4 linked regions of the Kluyveromyces lactis genome follow. The protein of the gene in region 2 binds, or shares a complex with, the protein of the main gene of each other region. Links are inferred from orthologs where the notes say so. Each region holds a gene or a part of one and is shown on either strand. Other genes may lie near its edges.

The links.
Region 1: KAE1 (region 2) and CGI121 share a complex: the UniProt entries of both Saccharomyces cerevisiae proteins name them as parts of the EKC/KEOPS complex. The link is inferred for Kluyveromyces lactis from reciprocal best matches to the Saccharomyces cerevisiae genes KAE1 and CGI121.
Region 3: KAE1 (region 2) and PCC1 share a complex: the UniProt entries of both Saccharomyces cerevisiae proteins name them as parts of the EKC/KEOPS complex. The link is inferred for Kluyveromyces lactis from reciprocal best matches to the Saccharomyces cerevisiae genes KAE1 and PCC1.
Region 4: KAE1 (region 2) and GON7 share a complex: the UniProt entries of both Saccharomyces cerevisiae proteins name them as parts of the EKC/KEOPS complex. The link is inferred for Kluyveromyces lactis from reciprocal best matches to the Saccharomyces cerevisiae genes KAE1 and GON7.

Annotation. Positions count from the first base shown.
Region 1 is NC_006039.1:1,297,986-1,300,414, reverse strand, and holds CGI121 (Cgi121p), read left to right. Parts: upstream 1-1,451; coding exon 1,452-1,925; downstream 1,926-2,429. Other genes in the region: KLLA0_C14916g (uncharacterized protein), read left to right, coding at 1-95; LFT1 (Lft1p), read right to left, coding at 139-1,203; TFIIH/NER complex subunit TFB3, read right to left, coding at 2,117-2,429. UniProt on the Saccharomyces cerevisiae protein: Component of the EKC/KEOPS complex that is required for the formation of a threonylcarbamoyl group on adenosine at position 37 (t(6)A37) in tRNAs that read codons beginning with adenine.
Region 2 is NC_006042.1:1,999,427-2,002,407, reverse strand, and holds KAE1 (tRNA N6-adenosine threonylcarbamoyltransferase), read left to right. Parts: upstream 1-1,273; coding exon 1,274-2,431; downstream 2,432-2,981. Other genes in the region: SPC34 (Spc34p), read left to right, coding at 2,777-2,981. UniProt on the Saccharomyces cerevisiae protein: Component of the EKC/KEOPS complex that is required for the formation of a threonylcarbamoyl group on adenosine at position 37 (t(6)A37) in tRNAs that read codons beginning with adenine.
Region 3 is NC_006037.1:48,856-51,216, reverse strand, and holds PCC1 (chromatin DNA-binding EKC/KEOPS complex subunit PCC1), read left to right. Parts: upstream 1-1,442; coding exon 1,443-1,477; intron 1,478-1,555; coding exon 1,556-1,784; downstream 1,785-2,361. Other genes in the region: KLLA0_A00550g (uncharacterized protein), read right to left, coding at 1-1,118. UniProt on the Saccharomyces cerevisiae protein: Component of the EKC/KEOPS complex that is required for the formation of a threonylcarbamoyl group on adenosine at position 37 (t(6)A37) in tRNAs that read codons beginning with adenine.
Region 4 is NC_006037.1:564,679-567,093, forward strand, and holds GON7 (chromatin DNA-binding EKC/KEOPS complex subunit GON7), read left to right. Parts: upstream 1-1,497; coding exon 1,498-1,857; downstream 1,858-2,415. Other genes in the region: RIM1 (Rim1p), read left to right, coding at 749-1,141; FEN2 (Fen2p), read left to right, coding at 2,102-2,415. UniProt on the Saccharomyces cerevisiae protein: Component of the EKC/KEOPS complex that is required for the formation of a threonylcarbamoyl group on adenosine at position 37 (t(6)A37) in tRNAs that read codons beginning with adenine.

The sequences.
Region 1 (2,429 bases), on a different chromosome or scaffold from region 2:
CAATCGTGGCTACCCCGGTACGCAGAGAACAAGTTATAATAACGCCGGCTCAAAAAAAGGTATATAGTTACAGTGCTAATGTAGATGATATTTAAATAGGATGAGAAATAAATATATTAGGCCTAAAAAAAGTACGTATCACAGTATTAACGGTGGCGTTGAACACTTTAAGTGTTCCTCGTCATCGTCGAGGTCTATTAGCGACAGGTGATGGTTAATGTTGTCCGATACTGCGTTATTGGTAATAGTCTGAGTGTTATCGGGATCAGAGAAAGGAATCGATAACGTGGGGGACCGCGAATTCGGTGATACAACACCAATTTTATAATCTTCAAGCTCTGGCGACCTAGCTTTGTCTCTGTGGTTTCCTTCGTCAGTATGATGGGTAAGGGATCCCCAAAACCAAAATTTGCTCTTCCTTTTCTCCTTTGGTCGCTTCTTCTTCTCTCTCGGTAAAGCTTTGGCGACAAATGGTTCCAAGGGATCCATTTTAAATTTCGGCTTGACATCATCACCATCCTGTGAAGGCAGATTGTTTCTATCATTTTTATCCCGCAGTTTATTGAGCAGAATTTGCTTACTTCTTAATTCATGAGCGCTTTTCATTGCTTTACTCCGTAGTATTTCATTTGTTGATTTCTTATTGGAATGCGGTTCCAAAGGCTTCTTTGGTGCGGTCAGCTCCGGTCGATGAGCATTTGAACTCCATGCAAATGTAACATTCTGTGTAGTCATTGAACTGTTGTTTAAACTACTGGAACCGTGGTTCGTTTCCTCACGTCTCCATTCTTCTTTGATTTCATGATATTTATCTATCATGGGGGTTTTTAATGGTTCAGACCACTTATCATAATTTGGGTCTCTTATGCGTAAGAGTTTGTCTTTATGTCGGGCTATCACCTCGTCTGCTAGCTTATATACCATGGCTTTTGTTTTTGAACCCTTTTTAGTATCGTCTAAATCCTCGAAGAAGCCTGCCTTTTCGAATTGTTCTACAGCTGTACGAACTTTTCTAATATATTCGTCATCATCATCATCTTTCTGATTCTCAAGCTTATTCCCCAGTGGTTGTTCGGTAGCAATTGGTTCTTTATGCGCTGCTGGTCGTTCGAGATCATTTGGTCCTTGATCCCGTACTACTTCGCTCAACTGCCTTTCCTCAAAAACACTATCCCAAACGTTTTCCTCGTCTGGAAGCTCCATTGACAGTACATATACCGTTGATATAGCAAAGTGATCACTTATTGTGTTTTCTTGTTCTGAACCTTTTGTAAAGTTTGTGTACTCATGGTTTTCTATCAATCTTTCTACGCTAGAAACTACTCGGATTGATTTGAAAGATTTAAATAGTAAGTCAGTAACAGTACAGATAATCAGAAAGTGAAGTTAAAAGAAGGACCGATAGTAGGCGACTTGCATCCAAGAAGTTCCAAGAGCTCATCACAAGACAAATGGCTGGAATAGTTTTGAAGTACAAGATTCCTCAGTTTCAGGAGTATACTATTCATGTTCAGAAGTATAACAATGTTACCAATTCTTCTGAGCTACGATCCAAATTGGCTGAATTACCTTTTGCATACATCGACTCCAAAACTGTGATATCCGTTGAACAATTGTCGAGTGCCATCTATAAGGCTATTTTGGAAACAGAGTACAATAGAATGCGGACAAGAACTATCCATTCTGAATGCATTTTATCACTATCTCCTAGTTCGAACATTGGCGATGCATTGAACAGATTTGGTATAAAGGAAGGAACAACTGATATAATTGTGATCAAAATCATTGAAGACAGTAATGAAGAACCCTATGATGGCAATGCTTCCGTTGATGGGGACCTAGTTCCAGTCTCGGATGATGAGTTTTCTACATCTGCCGATAAAGAAATTATCAAAACGGTATGTATTCCTTGTGATAAGTTATGAACAAATGAGAAGACTCTTAATAATGAATAGATTACTAACCTAAATGCTATATGATTATGATGAGGATAAAGAGCTACCGAGCTCTTTACCATTGTACTATGTGTTTTTTTTTTCGGTAGAATTACAAATTGAATAAAGTAGGAGATGTATCAAACGAAGAGTTATCAACACTTGCCGTCAACGCGATACAACTAAGAGGATTGTAATTCTTCGCTAATGATACAACCAAGACCCATGAATGCCTCTGTTAACATTCTATCATAAATGAAGTCCGCCCTGAATCCTGAGGCTATATATTCCTTCTTCTTTTGTAAGTCTCTGATGAAAGAATCATTATACTCGTTTTCAACCAATTCGTATCTTTTGTGTAAATCCCTGTCCCCATTGAATGGTGTGAACGGTACAGTATCTTTCTTCTTCATTCTACCATTTGTCATTGTCATGTAAGGATTGTTTCTTAACACTTTATTTAATTCTTCGAGCTTCCTTCTGGCAGAGGATTTC
Region 2 (2,981 bases):
AATAAATTCATTGCTCTACTGTTGAAAGTTACAGTTATTAATAAGAGCTTAATATATACAAGAAGCCACAGAGCTGATCACGTGCTTTTGTGAACGAAAATATTCTCATTTGACACTTTCCACTGGGTTGCAATCAGTGGTAGAAAAGATCAGAAATTAAAAAAAATCTGGGGCGAGCTGGGAATTGAACCCAGGGCCTCTCGCATGCTTTGCAGTAGTTAAACTTCGTTTATCGAAGCTTCGCTAGGCTACTAACCCAAAGCGAGAATCATACCACTAGACCACACGCCCTCGCAATTTTGGCAGAAAACTTTTCTAGGTGTCCACAGAGTCTGTGAATGTCATGTGATCGGCGAATGAAGTCTTGAAGACCTCAGTTGCTAACTGATTTGCATGTTCAGCTCCTTCCTCTAGATTGAGGCTTCATACCTCACAGTGGTGTACGTATTTTAGAAGGTCTTTTATCAAACATTGCTGAAAGTTTATACTATCCCCCAATTAATTGCCCAATGGCAATTAATTCATATATTGAAGAAGTATTTATAACATTCTGTTGTTAATGATAAATATAAAGAGGCTAATGAGATAAAATTAGCTCAGGGAGTTTCACTGTCGTAGTAAAAAGATTTCCGCTGGTTGCAATTAATAAAAGGTATTTTTGCGTTGATTCAAAGGGTGAAATCCATTAATAAATTATCCAAAGATGCACATTGTTAGCACGTGGTTTCGGCTTCCGTACATAAATTAAAGGGAATTCAAGCAACTCAACGAATTAAATAGCTCGCGTGGCGTAATGGCAACGCGTCTGACTTCTAATCAGAAGATTGTGGGTTCGACCCCCACCGTGAGTGCTTTATTTCAAAATCCGCGATAGTTTAATGGTTAGAATTCGCGCTTGTCGCGTGCGAGATCGGGGTTCAATTCCCCGTCGCGGAGATCTTTTTTCATATCGAATCTGAAAATACGTTCTGTACACAATCTTTTCCCCTCAACGAGTGATTGACCAGCTATGACTATGTCTTGCAGTTTGATACACTTTTTCTGTTGTTGCTCCTCTTACTATGCTATCTTTTACTCACAAAATTGGTGTATATGATTTTTTGAAAAATTGGAATCTGAGAAAACCGAAAAGTTGAACTGAGATGAGTTGACTATCTTGATCTGTAATACAACTCCCTGAATATATAGTGTGTCTCACCAGTTCAACGTGTGTTCGTGCGATATTCATTGAAGGTATACCTATTATCGTCAAAAATTCTTTTTTCAGTAAGAGATGGTGAATTTAAACGGCATTCCACCAAGAGGTAAAAGGAACTATTATTTGGCAATTGGTCTTGAAGGATCTGCCAACAAGTTAGGCGTTGGTATTATCAAGCACCCAGTGCTAGAAAAACATGAAGATAGTGACCTTTCGTATGAGTGTGATGTTGAAATATTGGCTAATATTAGAGATACATATGTGACACCGCCAGGAGAAGGGTTTTTACCAAGAGATACTGCAAGACATCATAGGAATTGGGTGGTACGAATCATTAGAAAGGCATTAACGGAGGCCAAGATCGATGATCCCACAAAGATCGATGTGATATGTTTCACTAGAGGACCTGGAATGGGTGCTCCTTTGCATTGTGTGGTTATAGCTGCAAGGACTTTGTCATTGATGTGGGACATACCATTAGTTGGGGTTAACCACTGTGTGGGGCATATCGAGATGGGGAGAGAGATCACAGGAGCTAAAAATCCTGTCGTGCTCTATGTTAGTGGAGGTAACACTCAAGTTATTGCTTACTCCGAGAAAAGATATCGAATCTTTGGTGAAACGTTGGACATCGCCATTGGGAATTGTTTAGACAGATTTGCAAGAACTTTGAAGATACCGAATGCACCATCGCCTGGTTACAACATTGAACAACTGGCTAAACAGTGTAAGAATAAAGAAAAATTAGTGGTATTACCATACACTGTTAAGGGAATGGATCTGTCAATGAGTGGTATTTTGCAATATATTGACACTTTAGCGAAAGACCTATTCAAAAAGAACTTGAAGAATAAATTATTATTTGATTCAAGAACAGGAGAACAGCTTGTGACTGTAGAAGACCTATGTTACTCTTTACAGGAAAATTTATTTGCCATGCTTGTGGAGATTACCGAACGTGCAATGGCCCATGTAAACTCAAACCAAGTGCTAATAGTGGGTGGTGTTGGATGCAACGTTAGGCTTCAAGAGATGATGGCCCAAATGTGTAAAGACAGGTCCAATGGACAAGTACACGCAACTGATGACAGATTCTGTATTGATAATGGTGTGATGATTGCCCAGGCAGGCCTATTAGAGTACAGAACAGGCCACTTTGTTAAGGATCTTTCTGAAACCATTGTCACGCAGAAGTTTAGAACCGATGAGGTTTATATCGCATGGAGAGAATAATAATAGCCAATTCTGATTTTCTTGTTTATTTATCATCATATATAGAATAAAGTAAGCAATAGTTCTCGCTTAGCTTACCCCGATGTAAAGGCCGCATGAGCCTTAAAAGTCTTCTGTCAACCTTTTCCATTAACATAATGCCAACTCTTTTCACGTAAAGATTTCGTAAACACCGAAAACAAAAAAACTAAAATGTAAACATAATCGAGTTAAAAGATAAATGAATCATTTGGAGTATTTCAAGAAATTACATAGTATTGGATGAAATATTGTATTCCATAGCAGTTTCCTGAAAGAGGGTGGTGCCTAATCTGTACGTGTAGTGTTTTTTAACAACATCAAAGGATGTCTGGATCATTAGATTACTGCCTGGATCAGATATCAAAATCCGCGGAGTCAATATCGACCTTATATTTCAAACCGCCAGGCATCTTTAGAAATGCGATTGTACCAGGCAACAGCAAAGTGTACTCAGATCTTATAGTAAAGCTTATAAGAGATGGCGATTCAATTGAAGAAATGTCATTATACAGTACAGATAACGATGGAA
Region 3 (2,361 bases), on a different chromosome or scaffold from region 2:
GATGGCTCCGTACAAGTCTCAATTCTTATCGTGGATGGTGGAGTATTCTTTCCCTCTAACTCTAGTAAGTTAAGAAGTTGCCCATCACAGCAAACTTCAAAGTTGCTCTTTTGTGACGGATCGTCTAGTACTTCGACGTTAAAACAAAATGGCAGTGGTCTGTAAAACGTTCCATTCTGTAAGATGTTTGAATGCTTCGTATTTGAATAACCCATAAATACCCTTTTCTGGAATTCTACTCTATCCAGAGAAGACTGGTATGCCAATACATGTAGTTGTGATTCCAATGGATCAGAATCGGGAGATGGCATATAAGTTGGCTCCAGATTTGTGGTATTTATTAACGCAAAATAACTAAAAGATCCTTCCAGAATATCGGGAATAGAGACGCGAGATTCGAGCTTGTATTCTCTTAAAATTCGCTGGCTAGCAACTCTAAACCTTTCAATGCCCATTTTCTGGTACTCATCTTCTTCGCAGAGATGAAGTAAATTTGCATGAAATCCCAGTGACAAAATTATGAAGAATTTAAGGACATAACCGTTGTCAAAAGTTGCCCTATACAACGGGAAATCGTTGCAGGACAACTTACCATTGACAAATTGTGAGAATATGACAGCTGGATCCATCAACTTCAAAGAGCTTGCCCATGCATTTCCTGTACCCATTGGGAATGGAAGCACTGAAATACAGTCGTGGTTCAAGGGCAGGTTATTAACGAATTCTGATATCGATGTATCACCAGAAAGAAAGAGAACAGTGTACTGTCTAGTGCTGTCAATGCTCGAGGCCAGTTCTATGACAGATGACTTGGATGTAGTTTTTATTAGGCGGTAAGGGACAATAACCTGCTCAAAGAATTGTGCTATGACGTTCGTGGCGAAATCGCAGTCTTTATCCCGGCCAGATCCTGAAAACACCGAATCTACGATGAGCAGTTCCCCCGAATATTCAAATTTCTTATTAGCGAGAAGCTTCTCATCATCTAAGAGTTTCGAACCAAGTTGGTACGATTTAGCACCTTCTGCTAAAAGCTTTGTGACAATTGTAAATGAGACACCGTTATATATCCCTAATTCTTGTTTAGTTACGTTAGACTCGTCAGGCATTCTGGCCATGAGAAAATTTTATCCTTGAAGATCGGCCTGCCAATCCTTAGCTGATAATAAATTATCTTCGCACCTGGTACCAGGACGGGCATTTTGATAGTAAGTCAGATATTAAAGACTTAAATCCATGCTTGATCTAAACTACCTTCAAACTTGATGTTCTGTTATTTTTACCCAATTAGAAATCAAAAAAGTCTTCGAAAAACGCATCCGTACTGTGTGTGGTTCATGTTCAGGATGAACTTATTGACTTTGAGATCTTTATGAATGATACACACTTGAAACTTGCTGCAGTAGTGAGTTCAATCAGCGGATAAATAGTACTCTTTTAAGATGAATAAAGGAGACACGTCTTTCGAGCACTCTTTGTATGTTATTTCTGGCTCTTATGAATGCAAGTTTATAACTTGAAATACTAACAAGTTGTGATGTAAAATGCCGTACAGACATTTGGAAATACCATTTGAAAGCATTAAACAAGCTGATGTAGCAAGGAAAGTGCTGCTTCCAGACCCCATCATGAAACCAGAGGATTTCCAAGTTACTTATTCTACGCAAGACACCAAACTTATATGTGATTTTGAAAGCGTTGACGAGCGTATTTTACGTGTAGGTGTGAACAGTGTCATTGAATCAATCAAGACAATCGTAGAAACTATTGATGAGTTGTGCTAATGCAAACAGAACAGTACACGTTCGGGGTGCCTTTTCATCATCTTCCCATCTTTCTATTACTTTCTAACCTATGGTACTATGAAATTTCTTAAGGCAGAAAAACTAAACGCAGAACAATTTGTGTCATTGCATTCGTTATTCATATTATGCAGGAACGAAAGTGAAGAAAAAAGTTAAGGATCAAGCCTAGCAATATTTACCAACAGTGTCATGAAATCCCTAAGTCTATAGCCAAGTTCTACAATAAAGCATCGTACTGATTAGCGACAATTCGTATCCATGCATTAGAATCAAAGAAGACCGTCGTCATGTGAGATGTCGTTACCATTTCGAGTTGTGGAGACACGCAGAGTACATCACCAGCTTTCAGACGAAGAAAAGAAAAATGATTGAGGTAATATGTAAAGGTTTGGCAAACAGATACAAACCGGTCGTAGAACTTTTCCTTTCCCCTTCCGTTTCCAAGCCAACTTATTAATGTATATATACATATGCCTTACTATCAATTTTTTAAATCTTACACAAATAAGCAGTTCAACATGTCGACTGTCTGATAATAATAAACTACGGGCCTATT
Region 4 (2,415 bases), on a different chromosome or scaffold from region 2:
GTACTTGAACTTAAACTGCGTTAAATAATATCGTTATCACACACTCCACAATTTACCAGTAATAGACCCACAGAGATTGTTCCTGTGAACGTACTCGTTTATATATCAGTACTCAGAATATCTAGAGTAAACCACGGGTTAGAATGAACGCACTCAAGTCAATCTGTAACGAAGATAGTCAAGTTTGTTATTTGAGTCAGGCATAGATACCAGGCCTTTAAAAGAACGAGATGACAGGGGAAAGACAAAGCCAACGAGGGGCATTTCATGTTGGAAACATTGACTCAAAACCGGGTAATGACAATAGAATACAAGGCACGTGATTATCACATGCTTCAATTACCCGGATAACAATGGTGATAACTCGAAGAGTTTCTTACTGGTAAAGACGCGATAAACGTAAATACCAGCAAATGCACTCGTTTCATGACAGCATAAACATTACAATATACGCCTCTGATATCTAATTTGTCACAAGAGAAACTAGAATCTCCATTTGCAATGCGAAACATTGCCACGGTTTCTCTTTTCCCGCATCTGCATGTTCTTTCTTATTGTAAATGTGCCATTTCTTACTCTCCGTTCATATACATTTTTGTTTATAAAGACATTTGATATAATTCGGTTTTATAAATTACCTTAACAAATATCAAGACTGAATTAGTATGAGAAGAATACGTGTGAAAATACAGTTATACTTCCCAGCCCAGTGATAAATTATCATTATCATTAAACAATTAAACACCCAATGTTCAGATTAGCCCAACGCCGTGCCTTTTCGGCCACTGCCCGCACCAATGATTTTGCCAAGATGTCCATTATCGGCCGTATTGGTAGCGAATACCAAGAGTTTACTACTGCTAACGATACTCGTTACTTGAAATACTCCATTGCTTCTCAGCCAAGAAAGGACAGCAACACAAACTGGTTCAATGTCACTGTTTTCAACACTAACCACATCAATTTCATGACACAATACGTCAAGAAAGGTGCTTTGGTTTACATCGAAGCTGATGCTTCTAACTATACTTTCGAAAGAGAAGATGGTTCCAGGGGCCAAAGTTTGAGTTTGGTTCAAAGGGATATCAACTTGTTGAAGAACCCAAAGGCACCTGAAACTGAAGAAGAACAACAAGCTTAAGAATGCTGTGATCTGTTAACCAATTCGTGTTGTTTTCTCTCGGCTGCTAATAATGTATTATTCCACATGGAGTATTTTTTTGACTACCTCTATATACTCTCTCTGTCTCTTAGTAATTACGTATAAATACTGTTTTTATCTAATAAGTTCTATCAAGGACATCTCGAATCTCACTCCCAGCCTTTACTTCTACTAGTATGCCTTTTTTTTTCCCCCATTGTGTCACAGGACATGTTCTGATGAATAGCATTTCTTATTTATCATATTGTCAAGATTTCTAATGTTAAATCATCATCTCATCTCATCAACAAGGTATTAAAAAGATAAAAAAGGGTATCGAACACAAGGATCAACCAATGTCTTTACCACACGCTACATATACCGGACCCAAATCAACTCATGAATTCGAAGTCGATCCTTCTGACCCCAGGTACCAGACTACGGAGGGAAGAACTACTGGTGCTTCAGATTATGTATTGAAACAAGGGCATCAAGACGTCGATAAACCTAGTGACCCAAAGAAGGTTGATAACGTCAATAGTAAGACAGGAATCGATCAATATACCACGCTTTCGCAACTGCGGATGCAATTGACCGGATTACAAGACGATATCAATGAGTATTTGACTGAGAAGATCAATCACGTGAAAAAACCTCGTAACAGCAAGCAAGAACAAGAGATAAACGATCTATTGGATGGTTCTGAAGAAACCTGAAGATTCTGCAGATCGAGAGCTTCGAATTCTGTCGTTTGAGTGTTGAATGGTATTTATACGTACTTATTATCTGTTTGTATATAAATAGTGTCATCAAATTGTACTATATCGTTCCGGTTTTTTGATCATCTTAAAGTTGGTGAGTCAACAGATTGTGACATCTCTTCAGAGAGAAATAGGTACTGGTATACACCGCCAAGAGTCCTAGAAGGACAGCTGAATAACATCAAAGTGTAATCACGCCATGGGCAAGCTATTTCGGGTCGATTTGACCGTTCTTTCTTTTGTCTGCTTGCAATATTGGATCAACTATGTGGATAGAATCGGTTTCACCAATGCTTATGTTTCCGGTATGAAAGAGGATCTCGGGTTCAAGTCAAATCAGTTCAATATCGCTAATACGTGTTTCACCGTTGGATATTTGTTAGGTATGATCCCTCATAATTTGATTCTATTGAGAATCAAACCTCGGATTTGGTTGAGTTTCTGCACTTTTGCTTGGGGTATTCTGACATTGTCAATGTTCAGCATTGATTCCGTATGGCAGTGCTATGTGAT